7 linked regions of the Ovis aries genome follow. The protein of the gene in region 2 interacts with the protein of the main gene of each other region in a pairwise test. Links are inferred from orthologs where the notes say so. Each region holds a gene or a part of one and is shown on either strand. Other genes may lie near its edges.

The links.
Region 1: the proteins of MRPL11 (region 2) and TAX1BP1 interact in binary tests that used the Homo sapiens proteins (3 or more experiments, as listed by UniProt). The two-hybrid records come from large-scale screens. The link is inferred for Ovis aries from reciprocal best matches to the Homo sapiens genes MRPL11 and TAX1BP1.
Region 3: the proteins of MRPL11 (region 2) and HOMEZ interact in binary tests that used the Homo sapiens proteins (3 or more experiments, as listed by UniProt). The two-hybrid records come from large-scale screens. The link is inferred for Ovis aries from reciprocal best matches to the Homo sapiens genes MRPL11 and HOMEZ.
Region 4: the proteins of MRPL11 (region 2) and THAP1 interact in binary tests that used the Homo sapiens proteins (3 or more experiments, as listed by UniProt). The two-hybrid records come from large-scale screens. The link is inferred for Ovis aries from reciprocal best matches to the Homo sapiens genes MRPL11 and THAP1.
Region 5: the proteins of MRPL11 (region 2) and FSD2 interact in binary tests that used the Homo sapiens proteins (3 or more experiments, as listed by UniProt). The two-hybrid records come from large-scale screens. The link is inferred for Ovis aries from reciprocal best matches to the Homo sapiens genes MRPL11 and FSD2.
Region 6: the proteins of MRPL11 (region 2) and PNMA1 interact in binary tests that used the Homo sapiens proteins (3 or more experiments, as listed by UniProt). The two-hybrid records come from large-scale screens. The link is inferred for Ovis aries from reciprocal best matches to the Homo sapiens genes MRPL11 and PNMA1.
Region 7: the proteins of MRPL11 (region 2) and CAMK2D interact in binary tests that used the Homo sapiens proteins (3 or more experiments, as listed by UniProt). The two-hybrid records come from large-scale screens. The link is inferred for Ovis aries from reciprocal best matches to the Homo sapiens genes MRPL11 and CAMK2D.

Annotation. Positions count from the first base shown.
Region 1 is NC_056057.1:69,918,552-69,922,234, forward strand, and holds part of TAX1BP1 (tax1-binding protein 1), read right to left. Parts: intron 2,540-3,683; coding exon 2,436-2,539; intron 1-2,435.
Region 2 is NC_056074.1:40,911,038-40,915,212, forward strand, and holds the start of MRPL11 (large ribosomal subunit protein uL11m), read right to left. Parts: upstream 2,966-4,175; 5' UTR 2,891-2,965; coding exon 2,768-2,890; intron 2,390-2,767; coding exon 2,294-2,389; intron 1,600-2,293; coding exon 1,506-1,599; intron 1,421-1,505; coding exon 1,261-1,420; intron 1-1,260.
Region 3 is NC_056060.1:21,432,126-21,435,109, reverse strand, and holds part of HOMEZ (homeobox and leucine zipper protein Homez), read right to left. Parts: intron 422-2,984; coding exon 1-421. UniProt on the Homo sapiens protein: May function as a transcriptional regulator.
Region 4 is NC_056079.1:36,888,530-36,892,810, reverse strand, and holds the start of THAP1 (THAP domain-containing protein 1), read left to right. Parts: upstream 1-1,458; 5' UTR 1,459-1,684; coding exon 1,685-1,755; intron 1,756-4,281. UniProt on the Homo sapiens protein: DNA-binding transcription regulator that regulates endothelial cell proliferation and G1/S cell-cycle progression.
Region 5 is NC_056071.1:22,376,357-22,380,039, forward strand, and holds part of FSD2 (fibronectin type III and SPRY domain-containing protein 2), read right to left. Parts: intron 3,217-3,683; 5' UTR 3,147-3,216; coding exon 2,511-3,146; intron 2,376-2,510; coding exon 2,280-2,375; intron 645-2,279; coding exon 414-644; intron 1-413.
Region 6 is NC_056060.1:83,213,348-83,217,564, forward strand, and holds PNMA1 (paraneoplastic antigen Ma1), read right to left. Parts: upstream 2,865-4,217; 5' UTR 2,050-2,864; coding exon 988-2,049; 3' UTR 206-987; downstream 1-205.
Region 7 is NC_056059.1:12,176,422-12,180,845, reverse strand, and holds the start of CAMK2D (calcium/calmodulin-dependent protein kinase type II subunit delta), read right to left. Parts: upstream 2,935-4,424; 5' UTR 2,818-2,934; coding exon 2,753-2,817; intron 1,143-2,752; coding exon 1,048-1,142; intron 1-1,047. UniProt on the Homo sapiens protein: Calcium/calmodulin-dependent protein kinase involved in the regulation of Ca(2+) homeostatis and excitation-contraction coupling (ECC) in heart by targeting ion channels, transporters and accessory proteins involved in Ca(2+) influx into the myocyte, Ca(2+) release from the sarcoplasmic reticulum (SR), SR Ca(2+) uptake and Na(+) and K(+) channel transport.

The sequences.
Region 1 (3,683 bases), on a different chromosome or scaffold from region 2:
CTTAAAAGACTCTAAGACTACAAAACTTAACAGAAGACAAGAAAAAAATCATTACAAGTTCTGTTAGCATTTTTTTCCTTAGAAAATAAGAACAATACATAAAGAATAAATTAAGAATCTATACTTCAGCAAAACTAAAACTTTTTCTAAAAACACCATTGTGTGTGTGTTAGTTGCTTAGTCATGTCCGACTCTTTGCAACCCCACAGACTGTGTAGCCCACCAGGCCCCTCTGTTCATGGGATTCTCCAGGCAAGAACCCTGGAGTGGGTTGCCATTTCCTTCTCCAAAAGGAACTACAGAAAGAAAGAAAGTGATGTCACCCAGTCATGTCCAACTCTTTGAGACCCCATGGACTGTAGCCTACCAGGCTCCTCCACCCATGGAATTTTCCAGGCAAGAGTACTGGAGTAGGTTGCCATTTCCTTCTACAAAAACATCATTAAGGAAATAAAAAGGCAAGCCACAGACTGGGATAAAATCACACATATCAGACAAAGGATTTGTATCTGGAATAAAGAACACAACTCAATAATAAGATGAAAACAATTTTTTAAATGGCAAAAAAATGAACTCTCATAATAAAAAGGAATGAACTACCAATAATAGGCAACTATATAAATAAATCTCAAAATAACTGTGATGAAAGGGGACAGGAAAAGAAGAGTGTACATATGATTCCATTTATAGAAACTGTACAAAAGGTAGGCTAATCTACAGCGGCAGAAAGCAAGCCAATGATTTCCCAGGAAAAGGGGAGAGAGGGAGCAATGAGTTGCAAAAGGGTACAAAAAAGATTTGAAGGTAGTGGAAATGTCCATTAGCATGACATTGTGATAGCTCCACAGCTATAAATACAGCAAAACTAAACAAACTGCAGACCTTAAACATGTGCAGTTTACTGAATTTCAGTTGTACTACAACACAGAAGTTTTCAGCTGGAAAAAACACATTCTATCTTCCTTTTGATAATACAATGAGGTTTTTTAAAATATTCATCCAAAATTGTCTCACTTACTGAAAAATAGTTTAGTCCCTCATAAACAACTATTTTGACCTCAAGGATAATCAATCCTCTATAAAAGGATCTTCTGAAGCAACAAAAATACTCAGCTTAAAGTCTTATTAAAGGATTAAACTATTATTAAGACTATAACATAAAATATTTTACATTAGTTACTATAGTGTGTTAAGTCATTTCAGTCCTGTCTGACCCTTTGTGACCCTATGGATTGTAGCCCACCAGGCTCCTCTGTCCATGGGATTCTCCAGGCAAGAATACTGGAGTGGGTTGCCAAGTCCTCCCCTTCAGGAAATCTTCCTGACCCATGGACTGAACTGTGTCTCTTTTATCTCCTGCACTGGTAGGTGGGTTCTTTACTACTACCCGGGAAGCCCAATTACTATAGTAACGTTGGGCTAATATATAAACTTCATTCCACGGCTTTAAAAATTACCCCTTGCCTCTCCACATGTACAGAGAAACAAACACAGAAAAAAATATTTAACTGAACAAACGAAAACCACATACTACACAAAACACCTTTTCCTCCCTTCCCCCAATCAGATACAAATGAGAAGCATTTTCCCTTTGTCCTTTATATACCCCAGAGTGAATGCTGCTAGGACAACTGCAAAATTTAAATGTTTTACTATTACAGTTTAATAGAATCAAAATAAATAATAGTAAAGGCAACCATTCACTTGGCTAACATTCCCTTTTTCCACTTTACAAATCTACTCACTTTAGGATGTGGTGAAAGTCTTTGCTATTATTACAGTACATATAGGAAAAAAGACTACTTTCTTTTTACACAGTTCAGAGACTTTTCATGTATCCTTAGAAGACAGACAACATCCAACATCAATTAATCCTTTACCCATTATCAAGAGAAGGATATTAGGGGAACAGAAAACAATCACGATTTCCCGCCCCCCAACAATGTAACATTTGCAGGATCTTAGTACCTCAACCACAGATCGAACCCATGCCCACAGCAGTGAAAGCACCAAGACCTAATCCACTGGACCACCAGGGAATTCCCTAGATCATGATTTTACACACATGCCTACATGGATAAGTACACAGAACACCCCCCACTTCAAAAGTGAAACTAAACATCAGGATACAAGGGTAAAGAAACTTTGAGGGCTTCCCTAGTGGCTCAGTGGTACAGAATCCACCTGCAAATGCAGGAGACACCAGTTTGATCCCCGGTGCAGGAAGCTCTCAGAACAACTAAGCCCATGCGCTGCAACTGCAGAGCTTATGTGCTGCAACTACTGAAGCCCGTGTGTCCTAGAGCCACCTCCCGCAACCCCCCTTAAAAAAAACAAGAGAAAGAAACAAACTCTGGGATACCCAATCAAAACAAAAAAGATAAGATAAGCCATTACATTTGATATATCTCTTCCTTACAAGGGAATTAGCTTACCTGCAAGAGTTGTTTACATTTATTATATTTTTCTGTTTTGTCAGCAATTTCTTTGGTCATTTCAGAGACTTGTCCCTTAGTTAGATTGTCAAAATCTGTCTCAGCTGTAACAAGGCAGAAAATAAGATTACTAAAAATTACTTTGCTCAGTATATTAGCTTCCTGACTTGAAGGTCAGTATACTGTGAAATAAATGGAATCCTAAAGCAGAAATATCTAATTCAAAACAATTATTCAAAACCATCTATTCATACACTAAGTAAACAAAGAAGGAACAATATAAACATTAGATGAGAATTTCACTATAGTTTGGCTAGAATCAAGTTCACATTCAATAAAGAAAAAAACTGCTAGCTAAAAATATTCTAAAATGCCACAAAAATTGTTCTTTATATATTTATTATATAAGATATATAGGAAAGCCACATTCTTTGAGAAAAGATGTTAAGCCATTTTTCTAATCCTTCATACTATTCAGTAAGTCTTAAGTCAATATAACACCTTTCTCAGTACTTCTATTAATACCATATAGAAATGAAAGGCAGGATCCTATTTCCACAGCAGTTGAATCTAAACATTTAACAGTATACAAAACTTACAATACATTTATTAAGTCTAAAACATCAACTACCCCAAACATTATACAATTAAATATACTTTTATATACTCTAGCATTTATTTTTGTTATTGTGTCATCTTTAACATAAGGTGAAAAAAAAGACACTAGGACAGATGAAAGCCTAGAGTTAATTTAAATTTTCATGTTGTTCATGTACTCACTATGTCTCTCTAATCCATTCTAAAAGTTAATAAGCTAATAAAAATTTTAACTTATCCACCAACAGGTGTACTAACGAGGAAAACACTCTAATGACCCGAAGCAGCCAAAACAGAACAAAAACAAGGCAAGAAAGAAATGTGATTAGAACTAAAGGGATTTTTAATTTTCCCTCCACAGAACTATACAATTAAAGTGCCATAAATGGTTCAAAATTCCACACATTTAGGGAAATATTAATTAAAAATTATTTTTAAAAATTGCTATTTTAGCTAGCTAAAATTAAAATTTCAATTCTTGGCTCTTTTCCTACAGACCAAATACTATAAGCATTTGCATTTAAAAACACAAGCTCATTTAATTAACACTTGAGAACACGCTCACAAAGATAAACATGAGTTTACACTCATATTTTGTATATTCACCACATGGATGACTTTTAGACCTTACTTTCCCTTTGCCTCAATCCC
Region 2 (4,175 bases):
GCCCCCATATGTGTGTGTTAGTTGCTTAGTCATGTCTGACTCTTTGTGACCCATGGACTGTAGCCCACCAGGCTTCTCTGTCCATGGGATTCTCCAGGCAAGAATATTGGAGTGGGTTGCCATTGCCTTCTCTAGGGGATCTTCCAAACCCAGGTCTCCTGCATTGCAGGCAGATTCTTTACCATCTGAGCTACAGGGAAGACCCTCCCAGCCCTCACACCTTCGCTCATCTCTCTTCTCTGCCAGGAGTGTCACTCCGCCATCACCTCTGCCTTTTACTATTTTCTTAAATCTCTCCTTATCCTTGGAGGATTAGAACAGCTAAATCCCAATCCAGATTAACCTGCCCGCTCTCTGAGCCCAAAAACATTTTGTACAAAGAAGTCATCAGGTGGTACATGTACATCTCTCAGAGCAGGGACCAGATTTGCTCACTGCTATATTCCCAGAACAAGTAAAGATCTGAGCAAAGTAAATCCCACCCCCGCTCCATGCTTACCCCCGCTCCTCTTGGGAAATAACCATCGGCCTTTGCATGCGGTGTGACAGCAGCAGCAAGAGGCCAGGGAAGGGCTGAGTGCTTCCCCTGCTGTCGTCTGGGCCACACACTCTCCCACACAACATCTCACCTTCCTGAGGTCTCCAAAGCCCCATGAGGAGCCCTCTGTTGGCCTCAGGATCAGGTCTAGATTTGAGAACCAACTAGACCCTGTTTGCCTCACCTCCTACTATGTCCCACTCTGTCTCTAGCGTAATACACCCAGATCACACCTTCTCTGCTCCACTCTTCACCTGACATTCTTCACAGGGATTTTTCCACTTCTTGGAATGCTTGTCCCTAGTCCCTGACCTCCTTTCCCAGGGCTCTGCTTGGATGTCAACTGCTCGCCAAAGCCTTCATTGACACACAAGCAAAATCAGGAACCCTACTCCCTGTTCTCAAGACACTTGTGGTTTCTTTTATCAGGGCTGACCATCCAGCGGTATAATGCTCCATTATGGATCTGCCTCCATCTCTGGACTGGGAGCTCCTTAAAAGCAAGGCCAAGCATGGCTACCTCCCTTCCTGACTGTATCCAGTGTCCAGAACAGTCTAATACACATTGGGTGCATAACAATTATATTCCAAATGAATGAATGAGAATCTAAGATCCTTTAACACAGACGCTGACTCTCCCACTCAGTGGGACCTCAGCTTTGTCCCAGAGTCAAGAACTTTCCAGGCCCTTCTCTCACACTGAGCTTCCCCCAGATACTCACTCCTTCACCACACGAATACCCAGGGAACGGGCAGAGCCAATGATGGAGCGGACAACAGAGGACAGGGGCACATCCTGGAGGGCAAAGGCGTCATCCCGAGCTTTGACGCGGGCGATCTCATACACGTGCTTCAGTGTCACCAGGCCGGCCACCTCTTTCCCTGGAAGCAAAGCACAAGCAGCCCTTCAGGAGTCGCTGCTTCCTTCCAGGCCCCCGGAAGCCCAGATGCCCCGCCTGCCCCTTACCTGTGTTCCGGGCCCCCTTCTCAATCCCAGCAGCGGCCTTCAGGAAGTAGGAAACAGTGGGCTGGCCAATTTTTATTTCAAATGTTCTGTCGGGCTTAAGGGAAAAAAAGAGTTATGAGACTCTTCCTGCCTGCCCCAAGCCCTGCTGCCCCAGCCCAAGGAGCTACTGACTTCCTGCCCGCCCCACCTCAGCTCATCTTCCTATGTTGCCCCTTCAACTGACCATAAAACCACAGGAAAAATAAACTTCTAACAAATGTCCCTGTCACCTCTATTCCAGGTCCAACTCTGCTCTGGAAGCCCTGGCAAGTTGGAGGGACAAAAAAAAAAAAAGATCTACAACACGGTAGGGCGCACTCAGGAAAGATATGGTCTAGTCTCCACTGTGTAAAAGGGGAAAGGGGGCCCGGCATCAAGAAGAGATTCTGGACTTCCTTGGTGGTGTCCAGTGCTTAAGAATCTGCCTGTCAATGCAGGGGACACAGGTTCGATCCCTGGTCAGGGAAGATCCCAGATACCAACCTAAGCTTGTGGACCACAACTACTGAGCCTGTGCTCAACAACAGAAACCCGAGCACCGCAACTACAGACAGCCTGCAGGCAGCAACCAAGACCCAGCACAGCCAACAACGGCCTCAACTAAGACCCGGTGCAGCCAAGTAAACAAAACTATATATTTTTAAAAAACAGGTTTGCCCCAAGTGGGGAGCCAAGTAGCAACTCCAGGTGACCAGCTCCAGGCCTTGAGGAGAATAAGAAAATTGGGGATCAGAGTCCCGACTCCGCACCTTCACAAAAATCTTGGTAGGCAGAGGAATGCCTGCTTTGATGTCCTTGGTCTTCTCGTTGAACTCCTTACAAAACTGGTTGATGGAGACGCCTCGCTGTGAGGGAGGCATGGTGGTAAGCGTGGGGAGGAAGGGCCGGGTTCCTTCCACCCAGGAGGCTCCATCCCTTCTCTCCTCCGTCTTCACGTCTCTAAGTATACCCATCCTTTCCTCTCTACCCACATTCAACTACCATTTTATGTGCCAGATGATTCGTGTGCTCCATACCTCTCTGTCCTTTCAACAGCCCGCTGACGAAGGACGGAGGAAGCTGAGCCTCGAAGAAGTTGTATAACTAACCCAAGGCCATAAAGTATGTGGGCAGCAGAGCCGAGGTTTGAAACGAGGCCGCCCTGGCCCAGTCCGCACCCCTCACCCGCGTACTAGATCCAACCCTCCCGCGCCTCCCACGCCTGGCTTCTGCCGCGGCTGCACCTGACCCAGGATGGGGCCTAGAGGAGGCCCGGGCATGGCCTGGCCTGCCCGCAAGATGGCCCGGATCACGCCTTCGGCCTGGGGCTTCCTGAGAGCCCGAGTGGCCCGGCTTAGCTTCGACATGATGAGGAGTTCCCGGGCTGAGTTAACCTCAGATTTACACCAAGAGCGGAGCTCTGGGCGCCGCCATATTGGGTTAAAGGTTAAGGGTCCTCACGTAAGGGTGAGACAAATAAAGCTGACAAATAGCAGCGTTGACTCAATCCTTCCGCCCTCCAACTGGTAAGACAAGGATGAGATGAAGCGGAAAAAAACTTTTAACGTGCTATTTTAAGATTGAGGAAGGACTCGAATGGCTCAGATACACATATTCCTCCTGGAGAGCACACAGGCAAGACCTCAGACGGCCAAGCTGGGAAGGGGACCTTAATGCCCGCACTGCATTGTGGGTATGGTAGTTTTGTCCTACGATGCCGATCCCACAGATTGCGGTGTTTTGGAGCGCCCTCTGCTGGATTTGGTGATAATCCCTGGGTTTCAAAACAGCCTGGAGGCCTCAGGAAATCTCTTCACTTTCTAAGCCTGTTTTCCTCACTTGTTGCTGAAAGGGAATATGGTTAACAGCACGGACCTTGGAAACAAATCGCCTGCTTGCTTCTCTTGCTGGCTATGAACTTGATCAAGTTATTTAACGTACGCTCAGTATCCCCCTCTGTACGATGGGGATTATAATATATAGCACCTACACCTGGGATTGTTGTGAGCATTGAATGAGCAAAGTGCTTTAGTACACCTAGTCAGCAGGTGCACTTCACTGCACAATAAAGACAAAACCTTCAGAGAGCTGTTATGAGGCTTAAGAGGCCCAGAACATATTTGATACATCACCTGTGTCCAGTAAAATAAGCCATCACATCATGTTATTCTTTCTCTCTCTCTCTCTCTCTTTTTTTTTTTTTTAGCATTTGCTATGTGCCAGGCATGGTGCTAATTGCTTTAGGTCACTACTTACTACGTCCTCAGTTGTGTCTAATTCTTTGCAACCCCATGGACTATAGCCCTTGGGGTTCCTCTGTCCAGGGGATTTTCCAGCCAAGAATACTGGAATGAGTTGCTATTTCCTCCTCCAGGGGATCTTCCCCACCCAGGGCTCAAACCTGCATCTTCTGTAGCTCCTACATTGGCAGGCAGATTTTTTACCCCTGAGCTACCTGGAAAGCTTGTTAATTGCTTTAAGGGTATTATTATCTTATTTAATCCTCACAATGGCATGAGACAAATTGTTTTATTACACTCTACAAATGGGCACTTCCCTGGTGTCTCAGACGGTTAAAATCTTTACAAATGAGAAATTGAGGCACTAAAAGAGGCCCCAGAACATATAACTGGTATGTGACAAGACTGGGAA
Region 3 (2,984 bases), on a different chromosome or scaffold from region 2:
GGAGGCACTTCCTCTGGGGGCCGCCCTGCATGATGAGTAAAAGAGAGAAGGGATTTGAAATGGAGTTGGTCCCGATGGTAGACTACTCGGGCTCGAGTCTCTTCAATTTCTTCAGATGACCAGCTAATGCCACAGCGAAGGCGCTGGGCCATGAACCAAGTCTTGACTTTCTCCATCTGCAGCCCATAGCGCAGGCAAAGAAGGGCAATGTCTGCTAAACTGGGGTAGGGGAAGTAGCTGAAGGTTTGGAGCAAGTGTTCATTGCTGTCCAGCTCACTGGTCTGGGCTGCTTGGGTCCACACAAGCTGTAGTTCCTCAGAGATTGGAGGGAGGCAGATGAGGCCCGCAGGGGAGCTATTAAGGCTGCTGGCCTCTTTATTAGGAGGCATGGTGCTTTCTGATTTGTGCCCTTCAGAGATAGCTGTAATAAGAAGAGAAACAGCTCGATCACTGGGGTTCCCCTTTCAGGCCATTGCTCAATTTCTACCAAACAAAACGTTGGGCTCCAAAAACAATTTTCTATGTGTACTGTACTGGATTGCTTTTAAAGTGTTTAACAATTTCTCATTTAATTTTCATAACCTTATAAATCATCAGAGCCTGCTATAATTCCCCCTATAGGTATGAAAAAACCAAAGTCCAGAGAAGTTAAATTATTCCAAGTCACAAAAATAGTGAGTGTTGTCACCAAGATGATTATCTGACTTCTGAGGTTAAAAAAAAGGAAAACATCCTTAGAGCCTTTATCTTTCCCCTTCAAATTCACTTCACCCTCTAAGTTCATGCAACAAGAGTGACAGAATGAAGATTCACCTAGAAAACCCAAAGAGATGTATGTAATCTCAGAACACTTTAGCTCCTAACAGACTATTTCTTGAGTTATCTCTAGATTATCTCTAAAATGTGGAAGATTAGGAATACAAAGTGTGAGAATCTAGAAGGTACAGAAGGTAGAACAGCACTGTCCCTCTACCCAGCTCCCTTTTCTTTTCTTCTTTTCTTGGTGGTGGAGTGTTGCGGGAAGGTGACTGAGTTTAATTTTTTTCTAAGTCTCATTAGGATGAGATGGGTCAATGATCTGGGATGAATGGAGTTCCCCTTGGTTTTGATCCGGAGAGGGTAGAGGGAGGTGAATGTTTCCTTCCCCAAGACTTCCGCAGAACAAAGGTTATTCCCCTTTTTCCCAGCCTTTGTCTCTTCCAACTGCTGTCTCTCTCCAGGAAGCCTAGAGAGCTCCCTCAGACCTTAACAGCCGCCTCCACACAGGGCGGGAGGCCTGCAGCTCTTATCTCTTCAGTCCAGCTTTCTTCTTGGAACCAGGTGGGCAGGCTCATTATAAACTGTAACCAGGTCCTGCAAGCTACCCAGTGGCACCAGGGCTCCCAGGCTCAACATGGGTGTGGGGACTGCAGAGAAAGCCTCTGACTGTGCTTTATTCCTGGAAACCTGCCCAAGCTATTTCCCAGAATAATTCTGGGCCCCAGTTTGACTTTTTTTTTTTTTTGCCACGTGGCTTGTGGGGATCTTAGTTCCTCAACCAGGGATTGAGCCCATGCCCCTGCATTGGAAGTGCTGAGTACTAACCACTGGGCCACCAGGGACTTCCTGGTGATGGAGTTTTAACTCAATTCCCTGTTAAATGTTCCCTGTGTGGGCATTAGAGACTAACATTATCTGTCACCCTTTACTTTTCAAGGACTCCCATCTGAGTTTACAAATAGTCCCTGTAACACATTACGGAGAGGACAGCATGCCTATGTAAAAGTTACAGATAGAGCAGTGTAATATCGGAAATTTTATATGATGAACAGAAAAATTTGGCAGCATTCTAATGCATGTCACCATTCCCTTTTAACAAGAAAATCTTAACAAACTGAAGGCCATGCAGACCTTGAATGCAATACAGTTTGAGAACCTTCAGAGGGTAAGTGGAGGCAGCATGGCATAGTGGATATGAATGTGATTAAGGCCAGCATTACATAGGAAGTTTGAATCCCAGTTCTGTCTGAACTTACAGGCGCCTCAGTTTCCTCATGTGTAAAAACTGAAGATAATGTTGAGCGTATGTAAAGTTACATATGTTTTTACAGAGCACCTACTGTGTGCTAGGTGTTGTATAGGCGGGGCCTAGAGCTGTTAGAGGTAGAGGTCTAGGGTGAGACAAATCTGAGATGAATCACAGCTTCACCACTCCCGAGAGTGCTTGCTGAAGCCTTAGTTTCCCATCAGAATAAAAGGTGATAACAGCATCTACCTGCAAGGTTATGACTAAAAAAATGCAACTGACATTATGCCTATACTAAAGGCTCAATAAATTAGAGTTTTTATCATTGCTTCAGCATCATGGGATGATTCTGAAAAGTAATGCTCCTCCTAGGCAACAGGGGAAGTGAGGCAAAGATGGAATATTTTAAATTACTGTATCCAATCTGTTATTGCAGAGTCCTAATTCTAATGGGGGAAACCAGGGTATCTGATTTTGTACTTTTTATATTTGGGGAGTTGGATATAATTCCAGAAAAGATTTTGCTGCTTTTTAAAAAAGTATCAAAATGACTGCTTTAGAGAATCTATAATTTAGATATAAATCCTTTTTGATTGCTGCCGGGTGAATTTTGATTGCTGCTACCCAACAGGTTCATCTCAAGACACAGCTGAGTGGCTGTGAGGAAGTGCCTGCATGGGTAGGTACTTAAAACCACCATTTGGAAGTTGTGGCCCACCAGGAACACCACTACATCTAAGCTGGAGAATACTTGATGATCCAACGCTCGACACCCACTCAACCTTATTCGTGCCCTATTTTTTTAAGGTCGTGGCGACAGTTTAGACGTGAGGAAAAGGTAGCACAAGGAATAAAGCAGTCCAGTGTGAGGTGAAGACTGCTAGACAGGGAATAAGGCAGGTGCAGGTACCAGCTGACAAGGAAACAGGTTGCTTTCATTCGTGTGGTCTGCTATCCTTAAGATTCTCATGGCTTGATA
Region 4 (4,281 bases), on a different chromosome or scaffold from region 2:
CTTCCGCTGGGACACAGATTTTTTTTTTTTTTTTTTAAGGCCATCAGCATCTCAGTTAAAGGCACTGCCATCCATCTTACGTGCTCAAGCCAGAAACTCAAGCTCGTGTCTGCCTGCGTGCACAGCTGTGTCTGACTCTGCCATCCCATGGACTCTATAATCAGCCAGGCTCCTCTGCCTATGAATTTTCTAGACAGGAACAATGGGATGCGTTGCTATTTTCTACTCCACCTTGATTCTTCTCTTCCTCCTTTCCATCTAGCAGCAGGCCCTGGCGTTTCTACCTCTCACATACTCAGACCCTGCCACCACCTTAGACCAAAGGAACCATTCTCTTCCTTGCCTCTTAATTGGTCCGCTCACTTTCTGTTACCCCTTTCTGATACACAGTCACAATGACCTTTTAAATATGTTTATCACATCTCCCTGAGGCCTAAAATGACTCCGTGGCTTCCCACTGAGCTACCATCCAGACCAACTTAGGAGCCTTCCCCTCACTTCATGCCCTTCTCCCCTGGCTCACTGGGCTCTACCCACAGCCTCCATTCCGTTCCCAGAAAAGACAGAACTCTACTGCCTGATCGCCTTAGTTGGCACCCATTCCCTTTTTCCCATTCTTTGGTTAAATGTTCCCTTCTCAGACATTAGGCTGTGACCCTCTCCTCTACCCTCATTAGCCTTACAGCATTCTAATGTATTCAGATTCAGGCATCTTGGCACAATGTGATTTTATTTACCTTTTTATTGTCTGTCTTCCCCTTACTAGAACAGCTGCTCTATGAAGATGTGCCAGCCTTGCTCACCGATTAAAAAAAAAGAGAGAGAGCCATGAGATGACAACAGTTAGCCATCAGCACCGACGAAAGGGGCAAGCCGAGGAGGGAAAACGTCCCTCAGACGGGTTTTCCCAACAGCACCTGGGGATCGTTAGGATTATTACAGCCGCCAAGGACTTAGTCTCGGCCTCCCAGGAAGACTGGGCCTGGCGTGTGTGCGGGTGTCCGCTTTTGCTGTTGCGACCTCTTCCCCGAGCTCCTCAGAGTTCCGAATACCTAAAGAGGCAGGTACCGGGAAGGAGAGGAGCCCAGCACGTTCTACAAATCACTCCAACTGGGGCTCCCCTTTTAAAGAGACGAACCCAATTACCCGACCACCTCAGCTTTGCACCTGTCCTGCTTCAGGTTGGGCCAGCGGACCCAACAGAATCACCTAATTCTCCAACCTCAGCCGCACGGGATACGTAAGCCAGGGAAGCATCGAAGAAGGCGGGACTGGTCCTGCGCTCCTGCCCCTCTCCTCCCACCTAGTTCCTTCTTCCTTCCGGAGACTCGGGGGCCCCGCCCACTTCCGCAACGCCGGCCTCAGCCAATGGCCTGCGTCCCAGGGAACGTTACCTCTGACCTTAGGGCTAATCAGAAACAGTAGGACGAACTCCTCGCGAGAGGTGAGGTTGAAGCTGCCTCCGCCATCTTGGAGATGGGAGACGGGCGATGGCTGTGGTCTTTCCGCTAATGCAAACAACAAAACGGGCACATTAGTGACTCCCGAGTGAGGCCCTCATCAGTCTGACTGTTGGCCAAAGCTACAGAAGAAGTGAGGGTGTCAAAGCAGAGCGCAGCGACACTGATAACAGCCTCAACTGCCCGCTGGGGCGGCAGAAGTGAGGTAACTGAGGACCGGAAGGATGGTACAGTCCTGTTCCGCCTACGGCTGCAAGAATCGATACGACAAGGATAAACCCGTTTCTTTTCACAAGTAAGGACCCCGCGTAGCTCGCGGGGATGGGCCCTAGTGGGACCGCGGGGGGCGCGCGGCCGCGCTCGGGGGGCGGAGCCAGGCGTTTTTCCGCGCAAGACCTGTGAGAGGGGCGGGGCCGGGCGCGGGCCTGCGCGAGACCCAGTGCTAAGGCCGCGCTCGGGGAGCGGAGCCAGGCGCGTTTCCGCGCGAGACCGGTGAGAGGGGCGGGGCCGGGCGGGGGCGTGCGCAAGACCCGGTACGAAGGGCGCGCTCGGGGGCGGAGCCAGGCGCGTTTCCACGCGAGACCTGTAAGAGGGGCGGGGCCGGGCGCGGTCCTGCACGAGACCCAGTGCGAAGGCCGCGCTCGGGGGCGGAGCCAGGCGCGTTTCCGCGCGAGACCGGTGAGAGGGGCGGGGCCGGACAGTGGGCGTGTCTCCAAGCCGCCGCCTCAAGCTAGAGTTGCGCGTCCCCGGGGCTGCTCGCCCTCGCGCTCAGGCTGGCGCGCTTCTCTGGGTGGCGGGTTCGAAGCTCGCGGGCGCTGTGTGGAGTCCCCGCTGGTTGTGAAGGTGCCACACCCGGGCCGCGGAGAAGGCAGGTGGTAATAACTCTTAGAAGGGAAGTTGAAGCAGAAGCGAAGTCCCGCCTTTCCCACCCTGCTGGTCCGGCATCGGTGAGGTGAGGACTCACCTTGCGGTGTCAGGGAGCACGTCTTGGACTTAGCTTCTGGGACCCCACCGTTAAGGACGGCTGAGCTCCGGAGAAAGCCTCAGGGACTGCCAAGATGTGCAGTGTAGCCCGGGCGGTGACAGTGCGTCTTGCGTGGTGAGGGGGGCCCTCAGGGTCAGGGTTAGCGCGACCCCGCCCTCGGGGCTGCTTCTCCTGGACGCTGCTGCGGCCAGAGCCTAAGAAGAAAGAAGCCTCACTGAAAAGAGCCGCGCAACGGAATAATGATGATCTGATGTCCGCACGATGCCATTTTCAATCGGCCAAATTCAACATTTACAAATTCCGTTAGGTTTAAAGTGTCTTGCAAAAATTTCCCACTGTAAATGGGTGATAGCTAACGGAGAATCGGTGGTAGAGTATACAAATTGTTTGTAGGTGGTTGTTAAGTTGCTAAGTAGTGTCTCACTCTTTGCGACCCCGTGGACCGTAGTGCGCCAGGCTTCCCTGTCCTTCCCTGCCTCCCGGAGTTTGCTCAAACTGATGGCCTTTGAGTGGGTGATGCCAATCAACCATCTTATCCGCTGTCGCCCCCTTCTATTGCCCGCAGTCTTTCCCAGTATCAGGATCTTTTCCAGTCAGCTCTTCACATCATGTGAGCAAAGTATTGGAGCTTCAGCTTCAGTACCTTCCAGTGAATATTGAGGGTTGATTTCCTTTACTATTGATTGGTTTGATATCCTAGTCCAAGGGACTCTCAAGAGTCTTCTCCAACACCACAGTTCAAAGGCATCAATTCTTCAGCGCTCATCCTTCTTTATGGTCCAACTCTCACATCCACAAGACTGCTACAAAAACCATAGGTTTGACTAGACGGACCTTTGTCGGCAAAGGGATGTCTCTGCCTTTTTATATATTGTCTAGGTTTTGTCATGGCTTTTTTTCCAGGGAGCAAGCATCTATTTTTTCACACCTTTTAATTTCATGGCTGCAGTCACCATCCACAGTGATTTTGGAGCCCAAGAAAATAAAATCTGCCACGATTTCCTTTTTTTTTTTTTTGCGTCTTCTATTTGCCATGAAGTGATGGGACCAGATGCCATGATCTTAGTTTTTGAATGCTGTTTTAAATTAGCTTTTTCACTCTCCTCTTTCACCTTCCTCAAGAGGCTTTTTAGTTTCTCTTCACATTCTGCCATTAGGGTGGTATTATCTGCATTATCTGAGGTTGATATTTCTCCTGGCAGTCTTGATCGCAGCTTGTGATTCATCCAGCCTGACATTTCACATGATGTATTCTGTATATAAGTCAAATAAGCAGGGTGACAGTATAACTCCTTTTCCAGTTTTGAACCAGTCAGTTGTTCCATGTCCAGCTCTAACTGTTGCTTCTTGACCTGCATACAGGTTTCTCTGGCGGCAGGAAAGTCTGGTGGTCTGGTATTCCCATCTCTTTGAAAATTTTCCACAGTTTGTTGTGATCCACACATCCACACATTTATAGGTAAATAATTACTAAAGCAAAATCTTAAATTTGGGGGGAATAAGGACCTTCCATGTTTAACAGTGAATGTGGGTGCATTTTTATACATTTGGTATGAGAACAAAAATCAGAGTGTGTAGGGTATAGAGAGATCTTGAGAATGTTGATTTTTTTTCCCCCTTCTAAGAAACAGAACACTTAACACTTCTAATGTTGCCTCTTGATTGATTAGAATTTCTGAAAGCTAATGGGGGAACTCCAGCAGTTCCAATGTGAAGGAACAGATCTGGAGATGGTGACGTGATCACAGACTTTCAGCTCCCCCCCCCCCCAGCCCCATTTCTAACGATGTGGCTGAGGGAATACAGACATAAGGAAAACCCTTCACTGGCACTGGT
Region 5 (3,683 bases), on a different chromosome or scaffold from region 2:
GGTGGCACTTGTAACTGAGAAACAGGAGGTGCCTTTCTAGCCTGGACATCTTTCTCCCCTGACCTCTGAGAGATCATCTGAGATGGCCAGAGAAGTCTCAGAGTCCTGTTTTTGCCCCACTCCACGGTGAGAGCACCTATCTCTGGGTAACCAGGGCAGAGGAACACAGACTCTGGCGTTAGCTGAGCGGTGGTAGAGGGGAGGGTCAGCTGTGTGCGAGCCTGCTTGGCTACCCAGTGAAGCTGGGCAGTGAGATGGGGGATGTGTTGTCATGGTTACACATCCAGTGGAACCAGATGGATGCGGACCATGAAAGTCGGTTCCAACCCCTTCAGGCAGAGAGGGGACAACCTAACCTACTCTGGCCATGACTGTCATTCCAGCTCATTATTTCATTTCACTTCATTACTGACCTTTATGAAATCAACCTTCTCTTCATGACACATCTCCTCTATTGTTTCCATCAGTTCTTTGCAGGTGTCAAGATTTTCTCCACAGCTGACCAGTTGTCCATATAAAGCTTCCAGTTTCTCTTTTTTTTTCTCCCCTAAAGCTTGTATTTTTTCTTCATATTTTTGAGCAAGTGTTTCCAAGATCTCATTGTAATGAGACTCAAAGTTTTGTTCTTGTCTTCCAAAATTCTCCTGCAAGATACAGTCGATTTCAGCTGTCATTTCAGTGCATTTATGTTGACTGAAGAGTCATCTGGGGCATGAAAATGCATCTACTCAGAGATGTTTTGGTCCCTCCCTGTTAATCTTATTGTCTCTTGCCAGGAGGCTGAGGTGGACAAAGGTGGAATTAGGACCAGGAGTCTCCAGCTAGAACCCCAGGGATAATCTTAACAAGAAGTATTGCTTTCTTTGCTGGTGGCATTTTACAATCCTCTTCCCCATACCCCACCCACCTCTGGTGTAGCCACCTCCCATCACCATGACAACTGACTTGGAAGATTATTATGATTATCATTACCATAATGAGTCAGCCTGCCACTGGAACTCTGGACCTTAACGTGAAGACGTCTGCCCTGGAAGAGTCCTACCTAACTTGCTTTCCCTCTTGAGCTCTCAATATCTCATGACATTCACCTCCACTCCTTGATGGTTGAATTATACAAACATCAGGATCACACAGATCCTCATAACAACCAAGAAAAAGATGCAGGGGGGGGGGGGGGAATAACCCAGGTGGGGCCGTCTAATAGATCAGAAAAAGCAGGAAGACAGAGAGATACTGGCTGTGCCAGTATTTAATCCTGGAATACAATGGATGGGAAATATTAATTAAACTTTATCAACTCCTGGTCCCACTTGGACTGGAAACCCTGGAGAGCTCTGCGGGTTCGGGGAGTGTTTACTGAGTATTGACTGCATATGTAAGACTTGCTTAGAATGCTTGAAGAGAGGGAGAAGCGGTAGACGACCCCCACCAGTGCTGAGTGCCAAGGAAGAGGCCAGGGTCCTTGCAGAGGGTGGAGACACTGTGAACTGAGCGCAGCGGGCAGCACGGAGTGCAGGGCGCTTTTTCCTGGCTGCTGTGCGCTCACCCTCCTATCACCCACCACCCAGTGCTTGGATGTGGAAGGGCTGGTCCCTTCCCTGCGTCTTCCATAGGAGATTAGCGCAACAGCTCCCCTCCCTTTCAAGACTGGGGGTGGGGAGGAAAGTCTAGCTTCATGGGAAAGGAGCCCAGGGCTTAGTTCATTCACACAAGATGCTCCCACTGATGCAATCTGAGCTGCATTAAGAGGTAGAGCACCCACATGAAGGGAGGGGACAGAGGAAGTCCTCTGGTCGCATTCGTGGGCTACCTCATCCCAATGGCTAGGTTGTGTGCTGGCGTCCAGCAGTAGATGATATACCTACGAGGCACACCCAGGGAACTGTGACATGTTTGGTGACAGGCACAGAAACTTACTGGTGGTGTGAGAAACAGGTAACATCTAAGGAAAAGAACACATCAGTGACAGGATGGGTGTCTTGCAATGTCTTTTTGGCTGGCCCATGAAAGAGTCCTAACTTATAGTGTGAGTGGAGACGTAAAGATACTGAAGACCCAGCCCATGAGGGCTAAGGTTCGGGAGGGAATGCTGCCAGGTAGTTGGTTCCACAGGTTTATGCCCCTGTGCTATGGGAAGGTAGACAGAGGGGTGAGGGAACAGGAGCTGCATCAACATCATACATTCCAAGAAATAGCTTCCCTAATTCATACCAGACACAGCTGCTGACTCACCACTCATGGCTGCCTGTATCTGACGGAGTCATTGAGCGTGCTCTTACCTCCACCGTGATGAAAACCTCTTCTAAGTGACTTGCAAAGTTTTCCATCTCAATAATTTGCTTTTCCAACTTGTACATATTTTTGTGAATTTCATCCTGTCAAATCCCAAGAAGACATTAACACTATGTTTTTTCTCTCTCGTAGAAGGCATTTTAGATTCATTCCCCGCCTACATACTTGAGATACAAATACAATCTCAACAGAAAGAAGACCTAAGCAGGCCTACTTACCTTGGCGCTCTCCAGGGCTTTACTGAGCGGAGTCACCTCATGCTGCTTGTGTTCATCCTGATCCTTCTCTGATGCTCTTACTGGAGTTTTGCAAGTGACACAGAAGATGTCAGCCGCTTCTTCCTCGTCCTCCTCCTCTGGGATGACGTAGCACTCGTACTCCTCGCTGGCACGGCCGTGGCTGTACTTATAGGCTTCCCGCAAGTCCTGGCACTGGCCTGCTGAGCCCCACCCCATGAAGCCCAGGTCCTCACCCTGAGCCGTCTCACCAGTAAGTCTCCAGTCTCTCTGCTCACTCCCCATCATCATATAAGAAGGATATTCTGAAACCTCTATTCTGGGTGTGTTTTCCTCAATAAACTCATCCCCTAATTCGTGATCATCTTCAAGTCCATAGGGATGGACAAGTTCATCCACTTCCTCTCCAAGGTCTCCCAGAGCCTTCCCTTTCACACCCCCTCTCATGGGCTCATGGGTCATTTCAGCGTGGACACCTTCTCTTCTCATCTGAGCACTCTCTTCTGGGAAGATCTGCAGTCTGTCTTCAGAGTCGTACAGATCCATGTGATAGAAGCGGAAATCCTTAGAAGCAGCAGACCTGCCCAGCCCCGGTGCCTCCCCAGCTCCCTCCTCCATCACAGCTCCAGGCAGCGCCTCTGCATAAGGAGGACTCTTCGTGGACAGTCCTTAGTGGCTCTCCTGGGTCCTAGAACACAAAACCCCATTTCTGAGAAGGTTGCTGCAGTAGATGGTTATTTCACTCCGCTCAACTCGTCGCATTAAGAAAATAATTTCAGCTGAGCAGCTCAGTTGTAGTTTCACTTTAAACAATCTGTAAGGAAAGGTTTGCTTTCTGCAGGAGGATGGACTTCCTGAAGCTCCAATACTCTGGCCACCTGATGCCAAGAGCTGACTCATTGGAAGAAGACTCTGATGCTGGGAAAGATTGAGGGCGGGAGGAGAAGGGGGCGACAGAGAATGAGATGGTTGGATGGTGTCACTGACTCAATGGACACGAGTTTGAGCAAACTCTGAAGAATAATGAAGGACAGGGAAGCCTGGTGCGCTACAGTCCATGGGGGCTGCAAAGAGTCAGACACGACTGAGCAACTATACAATGACAACAAAGCTTAAAAGAGACAGGAGAAATTATGAACAAAAATTTTGGCATTT
Region 6 (4,217 bases), on a different chromosome or scaffold from region 2:
CAAACACTTGTCTGGTAGAAAACATGCAAAAATTGAATATATTGAAAGGTACTGAAACTTTAAATTACATAGTATGATATAAAGCTTAAAGTAAAAGAACTGAGGTTTGGGGTTTTTTTCAGTGACATGGCGAAGTCTTCCGAAGAAGATCATAGAGCTTAATTACACTGAAAGTTTTCATACATGTCAGAAAAACAAGACAACAGAATTTTTAAAATATTTTTATTAATAAACATGTGCTTGATAACTTCAAATTTAGAACACTTAGAACCAGCATGAACAAGGTAAACTTCTTCAATGATAAAGATTTGAAATGGGGGAATAGATACTGAGCTGGTTCATATTAACCTCCCTGTTCTATTCGTATCTTGTTCAGTGAAAACTTGATTTACACAACTCTAAGTGCAGTATTTCTAACAACTCCTTTTGCAGCCTCAGAACACGTCTCAAACTGATCTAGATGTTTAAAGATGAAAAATGAGAAATTTGCACTGTAAAGTTGAATAATATCTAATTCACATTTCTTTCCATTAATATAAATCAGAAACAATTTACAGTAAACACAAAAACTACTCACAATAGTAGTAATAACAACAGTTCACATTTTTACTCAACACTTCTTGTGTGAGCCAGGCCGTGCACTAAAAACTTCTGAACATGCAATTTCACATTCAGTTACCTCTGGGAAGTGTCACGAGTTCCCATGGTTTTCACAACTGATGATGATGACGCCATGACAGCTTGCAGCACTGACAATTTGCACTGTCCAAGTCTCTCCCTGGCATTGTGGCTGACATGACTCATACTGCAGCAGCTCTGGTGCTGGCTTGCAAGCTTTTACCAATGTTAACGTGAATATGCAGGCCTGACTTACCCCAGAAAAACCACGCTAAGTCTTTACCACTAGGTGACATACCTGCAGGACAGCACAGAGACACGAAAAGCAGCTGTGATCTAGGTCTGCACTAAAGTCAGTTTTCTCGGGACTCAGAAGTGCCCCTCCAGGCCTAACTGCAAGAGGGCGGCTTCAGCCGCCTCCTCCTCTTCCTTGGCCTCCTCCTCACGGATCTGCACAAGCAACTGGAAGAGGTTAGGGGCCGGCCCTTCCGCAGCCCCAGTCAGCCATAGCTGCCTTCGGATGGCCCCGCTGTGGTTGGCCCCGGCAATGACTTGTTCCAGGCGGGCTTGGTTCACGTTATCTTTATCTATGGCTCCCTTCTCCACCACTTTCTGCAGCAGAGGCTCCAGACGAATGACATAAGCAGATAATTTTTCTCCCGGGTTCTGGTAAGTGTTCAGAAATCTGACCTGCACATCCCTGGAGCTCTCCACGCTTCCAAACACCTGCTCAAGCGCCTTCAGGCATTCGGCGGTGGTAATATCTGGGTTGTTGGTCTTGAGGATGCGGATGACATCAGCAGCAGGGCCTCGAAGACTCTCCATCAACCGCCGCCTCTTTTCTATATCAGACACCTGCCACTCCTCAATGACCTCATTAGCGTGCTCCAGCCAGGGCTCAAATGTCTCCTCCCCAGGCCCCGGGATGTCCCTCCCCGAGAACAACGTCAGCTTCTTGTACCATATGGATTCTATAAGAGGCTTAATAACATTATCCAAAATATAGTTTAGCATCTCTGCTGGCATATCTGGGCCTGGGGCCGGAGCGGGGTTCTCAAACCCAAGGACACGGGCAACATCTTGCACAGTCCATCCCTCTCGGGCTAGGAAGAGATGCAACCTTTCTAGAAATTCAGCGTCGGAAGTCGGAGGCTTAAAGACTACTTTCCAGACCCCTCCTTTACCCGGCATCTCCCTAGGGATGGCAGCGTAATCCACAGTTCCAGTGAGCTCTAACAAGGCTGCTTTGGCATTCTCTTCCCTCCAGAACATTCTCCCAAGCACTCGATAGTGCACCTGGGGCATCGCAGCCTGGAGGGTCTCTTCGATTTCAGCCTCATCGCAGTTCACCGGGATCCCCCAGACCAGCAGGGCTCTCTGGGAATTCACATCCATCCCTCTGCACCAGTCTTCCAACAGTGTCATCGCCATTTTCCCCAACTATCAAGAGCCCCTGATAGTTGGGTTATCAGGGGGTTAGATAAGTTAAGACTGTGGCTCCCTGTGCTAAAGGACTTAGGACGACAGCGGACACTCCCCTGCAATTTGCCCAAGGGAGTCAAGCTTCAAGCAATCACAATTAACAAACGACACCAGAGTCCAGCTCTCGTCCTTTCACTGCCTCCACCAACGTCCGTCCTCCGCGTCCTCGGAGCGAAACTTGGGGGATGCTCAGTCACGCGCCCAACGCCATCTCGTGTCTCCGGTCGGCGTCCGCGGGCCGGGTCCCGCACTTGCAGGCAGGGTGTCGTGTCTCCGCGCAGAGGCCCGGAGGGAAGGCAGGAGGAGAAGGCAGGAGACGCCGCGCTCTGAAGAGGCCGCCGGGGTGTGATCCCGGGGCGTGGCCGCCAGTTCTCCGCAGCCCAGGAGCCGACCACTCGCTGCTGCCCCTCCTGGCATCAACCCGGCTTCCGCGGTCAGAGCTCGGCCTTCAGGCGCGCGAGGAGCCGCTCCTCTGCAGACTGCGAACTGTGCCGTCCCTGCAGGGGGAGACTGTCCAGAGGTCGCAGCGAGGCCAGCCCAAGAGCGGCTTCTTCGCTGGCGCAGGTACACCTCTCTGGGCGGCGAGGACAGTCGGATACCCTGAGCACCAGCAGCCGAGGCGCGGGAAGGAGGCGGGAGCGAGGCTAGAGGCGGCGCCGGCGAAGGCAGGCCGCAGCGGCTGCGCGTGGGCTGCGGCGAGCTGACCCCGAACGGCGTTGAGGGGCTGCCGGCCTGACCGACCCGCAGCCAGCCCAGGCGTTACTGCCGCAGCGAGGGGCGGGGCCGGCCGACGAGTGGCTTTCGCCCCGCCCCCGCAGCCGAATCCTGCGCGAGCGTAGCCAAGGCAACGGCGGCCTGGAAGACTCCAGACCCTGACGCTCCGGCTGCCTGCGGTTGCCATGGTGCCAGCTAAGGGCCCGCGGAGCGTCCTCTGATGGCGCATGTCCTTTTTCATTTTCCAGATTTTTTTTCCTTTTTAAACAAAGCACTGTGTTTAAAAGTTTAATATAATTCTGGAGTGCATTGAAGATGATATGAGTCTGTCAAGAAAGACTTAACTCACGTCGCTCCTTCAACCAGTCCAGTTCAGTCGCTCAATCATGTCCGACTGTTTGCGACCCCATGGACTGCAGCACGCCAGGTCTCCTGGTCCATCACTAACTCCCAAAGTTTGCTGTTTAAAAACAGATGCAGTACCAGCCGATCGATCGCACTGTGCACCCTCCGCGAACTTCATTCCAATAAGACTAAAACGCTGGAAGTGTGCAGTGTTCTCCTGTCAGACACTGAGTTGAGCCTTTTTCTTCTAAAATTTTGTAAGATCTAGATCTATTAAGTAACCTTTGTAGCCAGGCAAACGCTAGTGTGTTATTTCCCCTGTCCTGGCATCACTGACAAAGGGCTGATAAAACAGAATGCTTATGGCTCAAAAATTTCAAGTAATTCCTTGCAAGCAAACCAAGGCCAATTTACGTCAATCCTAGATGGTGAAAATCTCCCCTAAAGGACACAGCATTCAACTATGAATTTTTAAAACCTTATTTAATAAAAGGTTTAAAGATACAGAAGAACATTCAAAAGTAAATAAGTTACATAGGTACATTACAATCACATCAGCAAGATTTTCTTTAGTGTGTTAATTTTTTTTTTTATAAAAAGCACACAAAAAATAAAATCTTCCGTCTGGTCTATCACAACTGTACAGCAAAAGAGGTAATATTTATATATATGTACACTATTTTAATATGTAACAGTCTTTTTAAAAAAGGGTGCCACAGGCAGCAAACACACAGAAGGCAGTGTCTGATTTTTTTTTCAAAATAAAAGGAATATACTTATTTATATGCTATTAAAATATTTGTACAATAATTACAGACTGTCAAGGCTGTTCCTGTGCTCTGTCCCCTCCAACAAGGCCTTCGACTGAGAGACAAATGAGGAAAAGGTGAAACAGCTGCAAATTGTTAGAGGCAAATATTAACACAGCAAAAATATGGGGAGGACATACAATTGTTTTATAAAAATATGCATACTTCCTGTAAACCTAAGAAGTTAGGCTTGCCAGTCTGGTAATAAATACCATGCAAGAAAAGTGAGCCTCAATAAAAACATTTAAA
Region 7 (4,424 bases), on a different chromosome or scaffold from region 2:
ACAAAGTTTCACTTAAATGAATAAACTGAAATGTCAACCTAAATTACACATTAAAAGCAGAATCTGCAACAAAGAGGAGGAAAAAAAAAAAATTATGGCAGAGACCAGATACAATGATACCAGATACTAGGAAGCAAATTAAAGAAGGAAAAGCAACCCTGATGGGATTTCTTTTCTCATTACTTAAATCAGGTCACTGAAAGGGGCTTACACTATGGCATTTTCTTCATTTTAATTTCATCAAACCATAAATTCCCATGAAAATATTAATACCTTAGACACGTGCTCACAATAATTGGAATGCCGAACCTTTTGGTATAAGTACTTTTGCATGAGTTCAACAAAATAAAAAGAATGCAATGAGACCCCTCCAAGTTTTTTGCTTATGTCAACAGCTATTTTATGAGTATGAATTATCTTTGCAGTTATAAAGCATGTGTAAAATACATTACATGAGTGAGAAGTCTTACTGCAGATGATCAAGTAAAGGTCTAAACTGCACTCAGAAACATCAAAATCAAGCTGAATTTCCTGGAATATAGCAACCATAAAATGTTCCTCCCAAAGCCATTACTGTTAAATATACCTTAATGAATTAAGTTCAAGTGTAACTACAATTGAAATATATGATTTAACTGAGTTATGACCTATTTTTCCTCTCAAAAGCAAAAGGGAATAATGACAGTTGTGAGACTTACATTTTTCCATTCCAGGGTTTTTCTGAAAGTTATTTCACAGTGGAGCTAAAGGCAAATTGCACTTAGTGACATGTATTTGCTTTAAAATGTAGTTAGTTATGTTATTACCCACGGAAAAGGTAAGATTTTAATAACAATTTATCAAGTAACAATTGTATTTTGTCACATTTTTAAACTGCACAAACCAAGAAGCACTCAGGAAGGAAATAATCTCAAAAGGTAATATGATACCTACAGCTACAATTATAACTAAATGACTTATTTACATAGAACACAACCAACATACAACAGAACCAATAACCAACAGGACAAATGCACAATTAACATATATGTGGTTGAAAATACCCACCCCTAGCAGAAAGCTTTTTGGTGTTGATAATTTTGGCAGCATATTCTTGTCCAGTAGGGATTTTCATACATCTTCTCACCACTGAGAATGCCCCCCTGAAAACCAATAATTAGCAGGTCATCAGTATAATCAGCTTGATATTCTATTAAAAACTTACATCTGAGTATTTTTATTGAATTTAGTGAACTGTCAAATATCAGTGCACCATATAGTAATAACTAGAAAACGAACAATCCTTCCTGGAAACTCAGGCCTTCTTTAACGTTGAAGAACAAAAATAAATTTTACTTAACTGGGAGCACACATTATTAATCAACAAAATGAAAGGAACTGCCAATAATGACGACTCTTGTTTGCACATGAAATTTGAAAACATTTTACAATTCACACTCAGCACCAAATGCTCTGAGAAAAAATCCTGCAAAGAGCTGAAGAGGAGCAGCAAAAATCTGCTGCCTATTTATTCTGGTAGGAAAAAAAAATTAATGTGGCTCCAAGTAAGTAAATATGGCGATTGCTTTCATTAAAATAAATCTTAGGAATATTTGTGTGTGGTTTAACAAATCCTGCTGTGGTGATTTCTCTCTGCCCTGTTTTGGACTGGGGGAGGGGAGAGATTTGAATTAAGCTGCTCTTCCGACATATTCTCCATGTTTTCACAGCAGACAACATAAATATATGAGGATGTGATCTTCATTACATTTAAAAGATATTTACACGTCCTTTAACTCAACTGTAGAAAACAACAACATACACATAAATGCACCTTTCTTGAGTAATGTTCGACATTAGCGATAGTGGAACTGGGGTTGGGTTTGATGCTACATAAATTAACGTTCACGGCTCGGCCCCTAGGTTCTTTTGCACAGGTTCTCAGTAGGTCTCCTGTCTCCTTCCTTAACATTGCCAAGTAGTCCTGTCGGTCAGGTGTAGAAGGTCGTTTTCAAACAACATACAACGTTAGGTTACCCCTGGGAAGCACTCTCCCAGTCTCCAGAGGGCTTTTCCACTGCCTGTGTAAATAAATCCTCCCAGAGAACTCGAAGATGTTCATGTAAATCCTAGGAAGGGTGATGATAAGCGAGCAATCTAGTGCAAGGAATAATAGTGGATATGGGACAGGGGGTCGAGTTCGTTTGGGAGGCTCTTTTCCCGGACAGAACAACTACTGGATGCGAAACAGACTCTACGCCAAGTTGAACTTTCGGCATCAATAAATATGGCACCGTCTGGGGCAGTGAGTTCTCATCTGAACGTGGGTCGTATGGCTGACTCGCCGGCGAACCCGGCGGCATCTCTATTTACAGAAAACGTGATCTATGTTGCATTTTACATGGGTTCTTGTTTCCTCTTCATACACACACGCGCACGCGCGCGCGCGCTCGCACACTTCTCAGGATGACAGCTACAACTGCAGGGATCGTAAATCCACTAAGTCTCTAGTGCAGGAGGGTGGGGGAGCGGGAGAAGGTGGGCTAAGGATTATCAGAAAGGGCCACAGCCGGGGTGGAAGGTCTTTCCCCTTAGTCGTCCCCTCCTCTTACTAAGACAACACCTTCCTCCGAGCCGACACACCGGGGGCCCTCCTCCCTCTCCTCCCGTCTCCCAACTCGCTCGCCCCACGCGGGAGGCCCGTGGGTCGGGGGTAACACGACCCGCCCTCTGCTGGAAAGGGGACGTGCGAGTACCCGGCAAAGGCGCTTACTTTCCGAGCTCCTCGAAAAGCTGATACTCGTCCGTGAACCTGGTGCAGGTTGTAGTCGAAGCCATCCTCGGTCCGGGCTGTCCCCCTGGCTGGGAGCGCGGCGGACCAGACGAAAGCAGACGCGCGGCTTCCCCGGGACTCGCCCCGCGGCGCTGTCACCCAGGGCCGCCCTCACTTTCCTCGTCCGAAAGTAGCTCGCCGGCGAGGGAGTGTGCGCAGGGGCGGGGCGGGAGGGGAGATGACCAGAGAGGGTGGCGTGGGGTCTCCTCCCTGCTGTCCGCCGATCCTCCTCCTCCTCCGGGCCTCGCTTCCTTCTTCTCCCGACGCTCCCTCCGACCCCTTTCTAGACCCTCTCCCCAGATGCAGGCGCAAAGTACTCAAGAAGAGGGGCCGGGAGATGGAAAACAGCCGGGCACGGGGCGAGAGGCGAGCAGTTGCGAAACGATCCGCACCGGGGCAGGAGGGGTAGAGGCGGAGGGGAGGGAGCCCGAGGGGGCGGAGGCCGCGGAGCCGGGAGCGGACGGCGCGAGCCCAGCTGCAGCTGTCAGCGGGCGCGGGCGCGGGGCGCGCCGGAGCCGGCCTCCCTCCCGCCCGCACCTCGGCGGCCTCGCGCTCCACACGAGCCCGCGGCGGCTCCGAGACTGCGCGGCGAAAGACAGCGCTCCGCTCGGGCGAAGCCTCGTCCGCCGTCCCCGGGCCTCCGCCTCCGCCCCAGCGCCTCCTCCCGCCGCTCCCTCCGCCTGCCAGTGCCCCCTCCCTCCCGAAGCCCCCTGGTGCCGATCCTATCCCTCCCGCTAGCGACTCTCACCCTGTCCCTCCGCGGATTCCTCCTTCCCTTCCCTCCCTCCCCGGGTCTCACACGCGCGCACGCCCGTCTAGGGAGAGACCAGGTGGGTGGAGGAGGATGTGCGGGGGAGACGCCTGGAGAGGGTGTAGGTGAAGGAGGCGAGACAAGAAAATTACAGTTAAACCCGCAATTAGGCTTCTGCCGGAACGTGGGGCCGATTTAGCGGGAAGAAGCGGGGTAACTCGTGGACTGCGGAAACTGCGGCCGGGGGTCGCGGGGGCCCCCAGCCTGGGTGTGGACGCCGGGCACCAGGGACCGCCCCCCGAGCCGCGGTGCCCCGGTAGGGCCAGAGGTGCAGGCGCTTCGTCTCGGCTTGAGTCGGTGTTGACACAGTGGGGGCCGGATGTGGGCAAAACGCTGCTTCCAGAGACGGGTCCCTGCCTCCCCCAAGCCCCGATGATGGTGCGCCCGCCCCGGCAGAAGCCACTGCGCCCGCTCCCGGGCGCTCTGCGCGGGGTTCCTCCCTCCCCCGCGGCCTCTTCGGCGAGGGGCGACGCCCGCCCCGCCACGTTTCACTTCTGATATGACGGCCGCCTCACTCTCCACCTCCGCCGCCGTTTTCTAGACTGGGTTGCTCAGACTCTGGCAATCCCCAAAAGCCTCTGCTTGGGCCATGAACGTGAACAGAACGAAAGCGAGCACTCCGCAGCCGAGCCACACCTTCCCTCCTGAGTAACTCCCCGGTAACCTCCCGAAGTTCTGATAGTAAGGCGGTTTCTCGCGAGATTTCTTGCTGTGGCGGCGGGGGCGGGGTAGTGGGAAGGTTAGATGTCGGTCACGCGACCTAGTAGGGGCTGACGTCACTCGCATCATGTGAACAAGTCT